Arabidopsis thaliana: one gene and its partner. The protein of the gene in region 1 interacts with the protein of each later gene in a pairwise test. Each region holds a gene or a part of one and is shown on either strand. Other genes may lie near its edges.

Region 1 (5,828 bases):
AACACTTAGCAGGACACCTAAGCTTCTTGCCGTTACAAGGTCCTTTCTCTTTGCAAGTAACCGTTGGTCTCACCACACCTCCTTTCCCAAACCCTCCGCTAGGACCACCAAACCCTCCACCGTATCCACCACCAACTCCAGTCCCCGGAAACCCGTTTCCAAACCCGGGTATAAATCCGGATCCGGGTACACCACCGAATCCTAAACCATCGTTCCCGCTCTTTTGACGAGCTGATTCAGTTGCAGAGACGAGGATGATGATAAGAAGAGAAGCCAAAAGGATAGATTTTGTGAACATTTTTGGTAATGTAGATATTTAGTGGGTTTGGTTGAGGAGATTAAATAAAAAGCTGGATGATATATAAAGATAGAGAAGAGCATTAAATTGGAAGGTATGAAAATACAGTTAAGACAATGATTCGTGGACTTTAGTGTGTAATACAATCACTTTAATGCCCGTACTACTACTCTACTTTGCAAAGAAGACTCTTGTGTCTTTCTCTATAGTCTCTATTACTTGCGTAACTAGTTGAGAGACTGTTCAAATATTTTTATTTAGCAGCACTTGGCGTTGGCGACATTTAATTTAAGCATGTGTTATTCAAAGAGCGACAGATAGTTTAAATTAAGATTTGATAGTGGAGGACTTTTGACAGATGTGTTCATGATAAAAAAAATAAAGGATTAATTACCTAAAGTTTGGATGAAATCCACAATTGGTATTCTCTGTAACCATCTGCCAAAAATTCAAAAATTTGTGTGTTAATAATAGTGTCTATTTATAAACACAACAAATTTCTAAGCAACTGTTTTATTACTCGCACAAAAAAAGAAACTTGTGGTGTTCATAATTTAATCTGTTCTATAAGGCCCACTCATTATTTCAATCCAACCATATCATTTAAGACTTTCAAGTCTTAAATCAAAATCTATGCAGGTTTGATTTAAAAGGATAAACTGGTTAACAAAATGTAAGTTTCGTCCAAGGTTTCATTAAATTTAGGGTTGATTTCCATTAAATTGGTTTCGTTGACAAGTTGGTTCTTCACCCACACACAGCTCTTGTTAGCTCTCTCGAGGACCCACCATTAGTTTGTATTTTATATGAAACTGTAATGTAAATTATTTATGCATATTTGGTTGGGTAAGAGTCCATGTTTTGTTTGCTATTTATACGACCTAATTATTGAAATTCATTGACAAATTCGGCCAAGTAGACTACTAGTTAGTTTTTCTCACCTGTGAAATATGAATTTTGTTTTTATGTATTGTGTGAGACTGTGAGCTGTGTTTGTTTATATTGGTCCAGTACATATATCAACTTTTGTATGGATATATACACATTCTTTTTAACCACTAAAGCTTAAAACAGTAAAGGATGATGAGCAAGTAATATCTGAAAGAATGGGAATTCAATGAGATTATTAATGGTGATTTTATTTCATCTATCCTTCGACATTATTACAAGGTTTTTAGTCGTCAAACCGGTTCAAAATTGACAAAAATCGGTTCAAGTTTAATTCTCTGCTCTCCTGAGACTGCTTAAACTTTTGAGTGGTCCTTGCTGCTCAGACCATGGAGGTCGTTTGTTGTTTTCCTGAAATATAACACAGTTTATTATAAATGATTCATCAGATGATTACTTACTCGGATCTCAAAATGTATCAACTCTTCCAAGTATGATTTGGACATGGAGCACAAAACCATCTGTGAATACATACACTGATATCTGTGACAGAATTGCAGGAGGAACATCTAACAGCTGGAGCTCCATAAGGATACATCAGTAGCAGTTTGCAATTGTTGCAATTCACCTGACCAACCTGGTTAGCTGCAAACAAAGAACGACAAGTCCAGAACCGATAAGAGAAGAAGGCTATTTCATCAATAATGAGGCCAAGTGATTCACAAGCTAAGAAGAACAATCTTGGTCTTAAGATCACACAATTTCCCCAAGAGTAGTAAGAGTAAAGGATAAAGACCACATAAATGGTCTACAAAGGAGACATTATGATGGAGTAGAGACCAAAAGGCTCACAAAAGCTTAAGAGAAGAATCCTAACCAAAGATCATTCTTGTGTCAGTTAAGAACTAAACTCATTTGGTCTCAGGAAGCTTACATTTTGAGATTCTCAAAAGAACATAGATATATCATTCACACATGCTAAGTAAAACTAGACTGAGAGAGCATTCCAAGATTGTTCCATTAAGAGTTTCAAGTGACTGAGATTATCAACAAAAGCTTTTCAAGTAATGAATAAGAGATAAAAAAGCCATGGAAGAACGAACCTTCAAGAACGAGATTAACAGTCTGACAAGAGGAGCACTTAACATGTTTGGATCCTCTTAGATAAGAAAGCAAACGCCTGCAAGATCCACATACCATTTGGGCCTTTTCTGCAACAACCCCAAAAACAAAGAAGATTTGCAGAAAAAAAACACTAATCAATTCTCGGAATCGAAAATGGGTTATCTCTAAAAGTCTACAAACTCCACTAAAAATCTCTAATTTGATCAGACTGTAGCAAGAAATGGAAGCAAATCGATAAACCCTAAAATAGACAAGACTACAAGAATACCGGGAATTTCTACGGTGGTGGGATTGGGGTTTACGGCGGCGGTGATGGTGACGATTGGAGGAGGAAGAACTGCAGATTCCCATCCCGGAGGCGGACCTTCCTCTTCCTCCTCTTCTTCTTCACGGTGCTTTTGTTCTTCCTTCTGCGTTTGTTGTTGTATCTCTTCCATCACGCCTTCCGTCTCGGCTCCGGCGAAGATGTCCAAAGTTAACTCTCAGATTATTATTACTTTTACCTTTTTAACTTTCCAGTAACGTTGACAAATAGTTGACTTTCTTAATAAATGTAAGGTAAAATTCAATACAAGAACAAACAAAAAAGATTTAGAAAGAAAATCAAAACAAATGATAGTAGATAAATTCGTTATTGCATCGGTGAATCAATGAACAATGTTCACATGACTCTCTTATCAATCAGATGGTAGTAACAACAGCATGCACTACAGCTAAATATTCTAGCTCATCCTTGGCTTTATATACATCGTCAAACCATTCTAGTATCCCCCAAATCTCTCCATCCTTGCGTTTTTCAATCGTAATTTCCGCACACCAAATTTTTCTCACGTTACCCCACTCCTTAGCACTCCACGTACACCACCACCATTTTTCCACCATAATATGCCAATTTAACATTACCATAAACTTTAGGCAATCTTTCCAACCCCTTCATAGTTGTCCATGATCCTTTTTCCGAGTCATACCAATCGATCATACCGTTACCACTTCTATTGCAACAGTAGAACACGTTCTTTATCACACAAAAAAATGATGAGCAACGCCATCCATTATTCATCGCTAAGTCTGCCGCTATCCATCTACCTTTATGCAGCTTGTAAGTCACATTATGAAAATACGACCTTACATAGACAGTTCCTTCATACACTATGCTCTCACACTTATAGCCTGTGCATATCTTCTCCTCACTCGGGAATTGCAAAAACTCCCAAGTTTGGGTTTTCGTATCAAAAACCTCCATCCATTTCGTTGAATCGAGAGTTCCGCGGCCTCCTGTTACATATATTTTCCCATCAAGGACGCAAGTAGATTGGAACACACGGGAAACCTGCATGCTAGGGGCCTCACACCATGTGTGAGTACGACAATCCATGACCATGACGCTAGACGAAGGTTTAGTTCTATTATTACTGAATCCCCCAATAGCGTAGATATTAGGACCAACAGCCACTACACTATCCGACCATGATGCAGATTTAGGATATGAAATTGGGATTAAAATCTTTTTTGAGCTATTTGGTTTGCGGCAAAGAGTGAACCAAATTAATTGTGGGTTAGAAGCGTCATATGTAATCTGCGTTAAGCACACGTACAAACAACTCTCGGTGCGGCCTAAGAGAGTTTGGGTCTGGTAAAGCTCCGTTGAAGTAAGGATAGAGCGGAATCTCTTGGATACTAAAGAGAGAGTTGGATAGTACTATCTTGAGATGCGGGCCAAATTAAACAGTTTAAAACCAAATCATCAGGAAGCATAAGAAAATTCATCCGTCTTCTTTTAAAAGGTGGCTCTTCTCCGTTCATTGCTGTGGAAGTGCACCCGAGAGCGCTAGCTGTGTCGGCTTTGCTTTTTTTTTCTCTCTCTCTTTTAGGGTTTAAGTAGCTTTTCACGTAAGAAACTCTTTTTTGTGTGTTTTGCGCTTAGGCTTTTTATGTCTCACTTGAAATCTTTATATAGCGAATTATCATTCCTAATCTAATGAGGAAATCTAACTTCTTTTTCTATTTTACTCCTTTATGTTAACTTACCTTTTTCATAAGATAAGAAGAAGGATACTAATTAACAAAACTGAAAACAAACAAAAAAAATGCAAAGTGTTATCCGTTAGTGTGGTTTGTTATTGGAAGTTTGAACCATGTCCCAAAATAACAAATTTTTGCATGAAGATTTTGGAGGTTCACTCATTAGTCATGACTCAACCATTCACAGTGTTATAAAAAACACTTAAAAGGAGTTGTTACGTGGGTTCTCAAGGATCTTTTTCTTAGATTCATAATCCTGCGAGCTTCGGTTTTGCAGAAAAGATACGATTAAGAGTAGCTGCCAAGCGAATCCCACCTTGTGCAAGTCTCTTCTCTACAACGGGTAACCGAGAAAGGAAATACTCATCTGCAGAGAAAGCAGAAGATCAAGTCATGTCCATGATTAAAGAAAACAAAAAGCCACGATCTGGTTTCATAGAGTAAGTATACCTCCTAAAGTAGTCCCCGGAGTAGCGTTCCTGTAAGCATACTTGCAGGCGAGATCAATGCTTTCAGAAGCATACCTTTAACACATCAAAGAACAAAGAGAATCAACAATGATATGGTAACGAAAACTAAGTTTTCTCTGCTATTAAGCAACTTAACAGATATATAGATGCTTGCTTACAGATTTGGACAGGCCTTTTGGTGAAAGTGACATGACTTCCACGACGGAACATCATTCGACCAGCCGTTCTATATTAAGACAGACGTAACAACAAACACTCAATGTAAGTTGTGTTTATCTTGGATACGGCTATAACTTGCTGAAGCTGATTAGAGAAGGCAAGATTGTACCTTGAGTTTGGCTTGAAGAGCTTGAATCATGTGTGGAAGGCTTGAATTGTAGTATGTTTCTAGAGCAGAGTCAATTATCATGTTGTCCCAGACCTTCAAGTTAAGATCGTTCCACTTCCGTGTCAGGAAAGATACTTTTTAGCATCAATATGACTAAAAAACAAAGCACTTACATGGTGCAAATTTGATTTGTTATGGTACCAGTTGACTATTATTGTGTTACCACCTAGATCTCCAAGAAAACCAGTATGCAAGGGCTGCGAAAATCATAATCCACATAAAGATTAGCCATACTCTTGTGTTGCTACTATACACTAATCAAACCTCCAGAGTCCAGAGTAGATAGAGTAGTAGCCTCAAATGCATATAACTCTGACAGCATTTGTTTGTAATATTATGATTCGACTGAATTTGCAAAAAGGACTAACCTGATGAACATCTCCCATATAATGTGACAAGAACAAGAGAGCCTCTGTCAAGTTGTCTGCCAAGAACAGAAAGAAAAAGACTTCTAAGTCACACTATTATGATCGATGTACTCACACAGAAATCAGTAAACTGAAACATTAAAAGAAGTATCAGATTCACTTAAAATCTAACTCACAGTGGACTATATTCTGTGAGTTTTCAGAAGCAGACATTAACTGGTTTGTGTAATTGAAGATCGCTCCTGTCACACACCAGTCCTTATGCTTAT
Region 2 (5,664 bases), on another chromosome or scaffold:
GAGAGTAGAGAAAGATTAACTACTTTTGCGATGAATTGGAGCGTTCTCGTCTGGGAAGATCATTTGTTGAAGAGCGTTCATGTTCGCCATATGGTTTTAACTGTGAATCATCAAAGAACCAATTGCAGAAACGAAGATTTGATTCCAGAACTGACGATTTTAAGCAATTAGAAACCCTAAAAAAGGTAACAGAAACCCAACTCGAAATCGAAACAAAGATCGTTTTTTTCACAAAACCCAATTCGATCCTCAAGCAAATTTAACACCACAGACCCCAGAAACCCAGAACGAATCAAGTAGCGACATACGAAAAGAAGAACAAACAATCGCAAGAAGAACAGTCTATAATGTGAACCTAAATCAGAAGGAAGAAAGAGATTACCTTTGTAAAAGTGAAGAAGTTTCTTGGTGAGATTCTTGTTGGAAGAGAAGTGTATAAGAAGATGAAGAAGAGCGCTTAGAGTGTTTAACGGTAACTTTTCAATGTTGTTCTGACGAAATAATGAAGAACCTCCGGGATTAGGCCAAAAAAAGTAAATTTATAGAAGAAGAGAAAAAGTTTCTAGCCGTTGGCAGAATATTTTAATGCAGGCCTAATCAAGAATTGGCCCAGGTACAGGCCCATCACATAAATCAAATTGACGGCATCAAACTATCATGTAAGATAGAAGCAAAACATGTCACACTTCTCTAAGTTATCTTCTTATCGGCTAGATTTATCATCATCCTTGATTAAATCTCCTTAATTTTGGAAGGTTAAATTATAGGTAAAGTGTATATAATTAGTCTAACCAAGGATATTCAACGCTTCTCGTTCCTGTTCCTTATATAAAACCATTATCCTCACATAAAGAAGACTTAACAAAAAAAAAACTCTTTTCAAAACACATTAGAGACAATTAACAAGAAAAACCCTTCTAATAATTTGATCAGAGATATGGGTTTTTCGCACAAGTTGTGGGATGAAACTTTGGCCGGTCCAACGCCGGAAAATGGTCTCGGGAAGTTGAGAAACCACATATCCGGTGAAAGTGCCAACCGGAAGTTGATGGTGGATCTGAAACGTGTCCCGAATTCTCCTGACCGTTCAAGCAACCCCGTTTCCCCTTTGACTCTTATGTTACCTTTTTTAAAAATCCTTTCTGATCCACTTTTTTTTTATCTTCTATGCTTGTGTTATGAGCAGTTAAAACCCTATATATTCATGTAAATTAAAGACTTTGCAAGGTGATACATATGTTCATAGTCATTATAAGCTTTTTTTTATTATTTTTTTTTTTTATTTTGACATCCATAATCATTATTAGCTTGAGAGTATTATGGATTTGTAAATTAATGATTACCAAAATCATTTGTATGCAGCTGGAACACCAAGTGAAACACATGCTACAAGTCTCAATGCTTGCGATTGGTTTGATCTCCCTCTCTTTTCTTTCCTCTCAAACTATACTTCATTTTATCCAACGCATTATCGCTTTCATTAGTACCACCATATCTAATTAACGTCCGGTAATACTGCAGGATTGTGCTAAACGCATTGGACCGTTGAAAAATATTACAAGGTATTTCTACGAGAAGAAGAAGTATCCCAAACTACTTTTCTTTGTATATATATATTTGCTGTGTACATAACATAATGGTCGCTTTTGGTGTTTTGAGATTTGAGAAATATTAAATTTCTGTTTGTTTCACAATTCACGAAGATTATATAAGGTCTTTTTGAAACATAGTATTTCTGGAATGTTTAAAGTTGTATCTTTGACAATGGTGAAAAGAAAAAATGATACTAAGTGATAACATGCTAACGTAGCGTATGGAAAGCCCAATAAAAACCCATGCCCAAAGTAAATAACATCCACGTCACCGTTCTTATTGTTAAAAGAGAGACTAATTCGAATCGATTTAACGAATGAAGCAAGACAACGAAGGAAGACAACTGGAAACTATCGACGGACTAAAAAAAGTCTACGACCGATATTGAAACTGACGGTTAGGCTAAGGGTAATTTCGGTACATCACCGGAAAAATGGTTCACGGGGATAGTTCCGGTAATTATAGTAAAACTAGATGGGCTTTTCCGTCAATACACTTCCTCATCGGATTACGAAGAAATGGGGAAATTACGATACAAACCCATCTTTTACCCCTAAACCGAGCCGGCAACTTTACCGGTGACGGAATCTTACCTCTGACCTACCAATCACGTCATTCCACGTCATCTCCCCGTATCTTCTCACGTCCTTCCACGTGTCCCCTCTACTCACCGACGCCGTCTCCTTCCCGTTTACCCCTCCCGAACAGAATATTAACCCAAACCCTAACCCTATCTCCCTCTTTCACGAGCTTCTGACTCAGATCCGGCGATATCGAATTCCATGGAGGACGATGAAGACATCCGATCTCAGGGTTCCGATTCACCTGATCCGTCTTCCTCCCCGCCGGCGGGACGAATCACGGTTACGGTGGCTTCGGCAGGTCCGCCTTCTTATTCTCTGACTCCTCCGGGTAATTCGTCGCAGAAGGATCCGGATGCGTTGGCTCTGGCGCTGCTTCCGATTCAGGCCAGCGGTGGAGGGAATAACAGCAGTGGGAGACCAACCGGCGGCGGCGGGAGGGAGGATTGTTGGAGCGAAGCAGCTACGGCTGTGTTGATTGATGCGTGGGGTGAGAGATACTTGGAGCTTAGCAGAGGGAATCTGAAGCAGAAGCACTGGAAAGAGGTGGCTGAGATTGTGAGCAGCAGAGAGGATTACGGTAAAATTCCCAAAACTGATATACAGTGTAAGAATAGGATCGATACGGTGAAGAAGAAGTATAAACAAGAGAAGGTGAGAATCGCTAACGGCGGTGGCCGTAGCAGATGGGTGTTCTTCGACAAGCTTGACCGTCTGATTGGATCAACGGCGAAGATCCCGACGGCAACTTCTGGAGTCAGCGGTCCTGTCGGAGGATTGCATAAGATTCCTATGGGTATTCCAATGGGAAGTCGTTCGAATCTGTACCATCAGCAAGCTAAGGCTGCAACACCGCCTTTCAATAATCTTGACCGGTTAATTGGAGCTACGGCTAGAGTCTCAGCTGCTTCTTTCGGTGGCAGTGGTGGAGGAGGCGGAGGAGGATCTGTCAATGTACCTATGGGAATTCCGATGAGTAGCCGTTCAGCTCCGTTTGGACAGCAAGGGAGGACTCTGCCACAGCAAGGTAGGACACTGCCACAGCAACAGCAGCAAGGGATGATGGTGAAAAGGTGTAGTGAGTCGAAACGCTGGCGTTTCAGGAAGAGGAACGCTTCTGATTCAGACTCGGAATCTGAAGCAGCAATGTCAGATGATTCCGGTGACAGTTTACCACCTCCTCCTCTGTCGAAGAGGATGAAGACGGAGGAGAAGAAGAAGCAAGATGGTGATGGAGTGGGGAACAAATGGAGGGAGCTGACTCGGGCAATCATGAGATTCGGTGAAGCTTATGAGCAAACAGAGAATGCGAAACTGCAACAGGTGGTTGAGATGGAGAAAGAGAGGATGAAGTTCTTGAAGGAGCTTGAGTTGCAGAGAATGCAGTTCTTTGTGAAGACTCAATTGGAGATATCACAACTTAAGCAGCAACATGGGAGGAGAATGGGAAACACCAGTAATGATCATCATCACAGCCGCAAGAACAACATCAATGCGATTGTCAACAACAACAACGATTTGGGTAATAACTAGAATTTAGTGATGCAGTGTCGTAATTGATATATTTTAGATTTGAGTCTTTAATTGTTGAAAGAGAAACTGAAACTTATCTAGGCTTCATGAGTGTATTAATATTTTGCATATCTTTCTTAACTTTGGTCATATGGAACAGATTTAACTTCACTAGATTGCCTGAGATCATTCTGCTGCAGACTCTTGTGCACGTTTTTGAACTTCTCTTAATCTCTGAGTTAGATTGTGTTTCACTAGTTAGGTTAGAACATGGCATAGGACATTTTTGACACAATCCAACCGCAAAATCTTAAAGCTATGTTTGGTTATTATGACATTGGAGATTTGCATGTGTACCTAAAAGCATTTTTTTAACTCTTTTTCTTTTGAGTAATTGTTTGAGCTAGATTTTCTTGTGTCTGAAGCATCATTCAAACCACCAATGATGATCTTCTATAAAAGAAGAATGTTAGGCAAGAAACCTTTTCGTTGGTCTGTTTATTTATTTTTCTATGATGTTTGCCTTTTGGCATTTTATAGGTACTAAACAAATGACAGTCAATTCAAATTCATTACACATAGATGTTTCTCACAATTTTACCTTCCGCACTAAGCTAATATTCATGTATCGAAAGGTGAATCATGATATTTGAGTAAAAATACCATCTTCCGAGTCCCACCGTAACATCATTCTAACTTGCACTATTCTTATTTTTTTTTGAAACGAATACAATAATGAAAACGTAAGAAATAAAGCATCTTGAAATCTTCTGAATTTTGTTTTTGTTTTAGGTAGAAAAGAGTTTGATTCCAAAGGTCCACGTGTGTTTAGACATATAGATTAGATATTATCTAATGATATATTGGTATCACTAGGATTACTAATCAAGATTTTTCCTTAGTAAAGTTCAAAATAAAGTTTTTTTTTTCAAAATAAAGTTTTTTTTTGGAACTAAATCTAGCAATAAAAGTAGTGATTACTAAAGAAATAGTAAATTATTAATGTAACAAATGAATATTCTTTTTTTTTTTTTAAAGTGGGCAAGAAAAGATACCAAAAAGAAAGAAAGAATTGGGTAGGATTTAAAGCCATGTCTCCATTATAAATATATAGTTAGGGTCAATTGTCCATTAAAATTAAAGAAGAATAAAGAGTGATATCCTATAATTAGATATTTTTTCAGGGGGTCCATCATTTGATTTAAAGTGTCTCCAAAAGTTGGAATAAAAATGGTTGGTGTTAATATTATTAATTTTCAGTAGAGTAGAATAAGCTCTAATTTAAATACTTCTTTTTGTCAGCATCTATTTAGTACAGTGTTTATTTAACATAATATACATTTTGCACATAGAGATTTTACTCTAAAACAGCGAATCGTTGTTACTCTTAACGTTAAATATTTGGATCTGAAAGGCAAAGTACCAATATACCCATTTGTTCCTTGGCCCATCTGTGGGTAAGAGACTAATTTACCCCTCCAATTTATATACTTCACAGCAATAAATTCGAAGAATAAAAGGGTATTATGGGTAACTAACGAAAGCCGTTTAGGATTCGGCGAGACCTGTTTCCGGAATTTCGTAATTACTGCCGACTTTCTTTGATTTTTGTTTAATTTAATATTTCAAATTTTACGCTCTATTACTCTCTTTTTTTTTTTGTTTTGTCATCGTATACGCTACTTCACGTCAACAAAAATGGTGATTTTTGTCTGAAGAACGTTTATTTCTTTCTCTTGATTTCACTTTCTCTCTCTAAAGTAGATTTTTGACAAAGATAGATTACGGCGGAAGGAAGGAGACACACAATGATGGGAGAGATATTGAATCCATCAGCGGAAGTGAAATTAATTACGAAGTTGACTTGAGAGTTTTGAGTGAAGCCAAAAACAGAAGAAAACAATCTTCATTGTTAGGGTTTTAATAAGCTTTAAGAAGAGGATGCTGAATATAGAAAGCAGAGAAAGAATCTCGACAA

What was found.
Region 2: the proteins of LOL2 (region 1) and ASIL2 interact in binary tests that used the Arabidopsis thaliana proteins (3 or more experiments, as listed by UniProt).

The regions. Positions count from the first base shown.
Region 1 is NC_003075.7:11,485,989-11,491,816, reverse strand, and holds LOL2 (lsd one like 2), read right to left. Parts: upstream 2,842-5,828; 5' UTR 2,749-2,841; coding exon 2,580-2,748; intron 2,398-2,579; coding exon 2,290-2,397; intron 1,832-2,289; coding exon 1,722-1,831; coding exon of another isoform or gene 1,665-1,721; exon of another isoform or gene 1,598-1,664; coding exon 1,517-1,597; 3' UTR 1,394-1,516; downstream 1-1,393. Other genes in the region: AT4G21620 (glycine-rich protein), read right to left, coding at 1-298; ENDO5 (endonuclease 5), read right to left, coding at 4,582-4,700, 4,784-4,857, 4,962-5,029, 5,132-5,224, 5,305-5,388, 5,560-5,615, 5,736-5,828. UniProt on the Arabidopsis thaliana protein: Putative zinc finger that may be involved in programmed cell death and defense response.
Region 2 is NC_003074.8:4,705,333-4,710,996, reverse strand, and holds ASIL2 (sequence-specific DNA binding transcription factor), read left to right. Parts: upstream 1-1,820; 5' UTR 1,821-2,375; coding exon 2,376-3,707; 3' UTR 3,708-4,195; downstream 4,196-5,664. Other genes in the region: AT3G14190 (uncharacterized protein), read right to left, coding at 24-90. UniProt on the Arabidopsis thaliana protein: Transcription regulator that may repress the maturation program during early embryogenesis.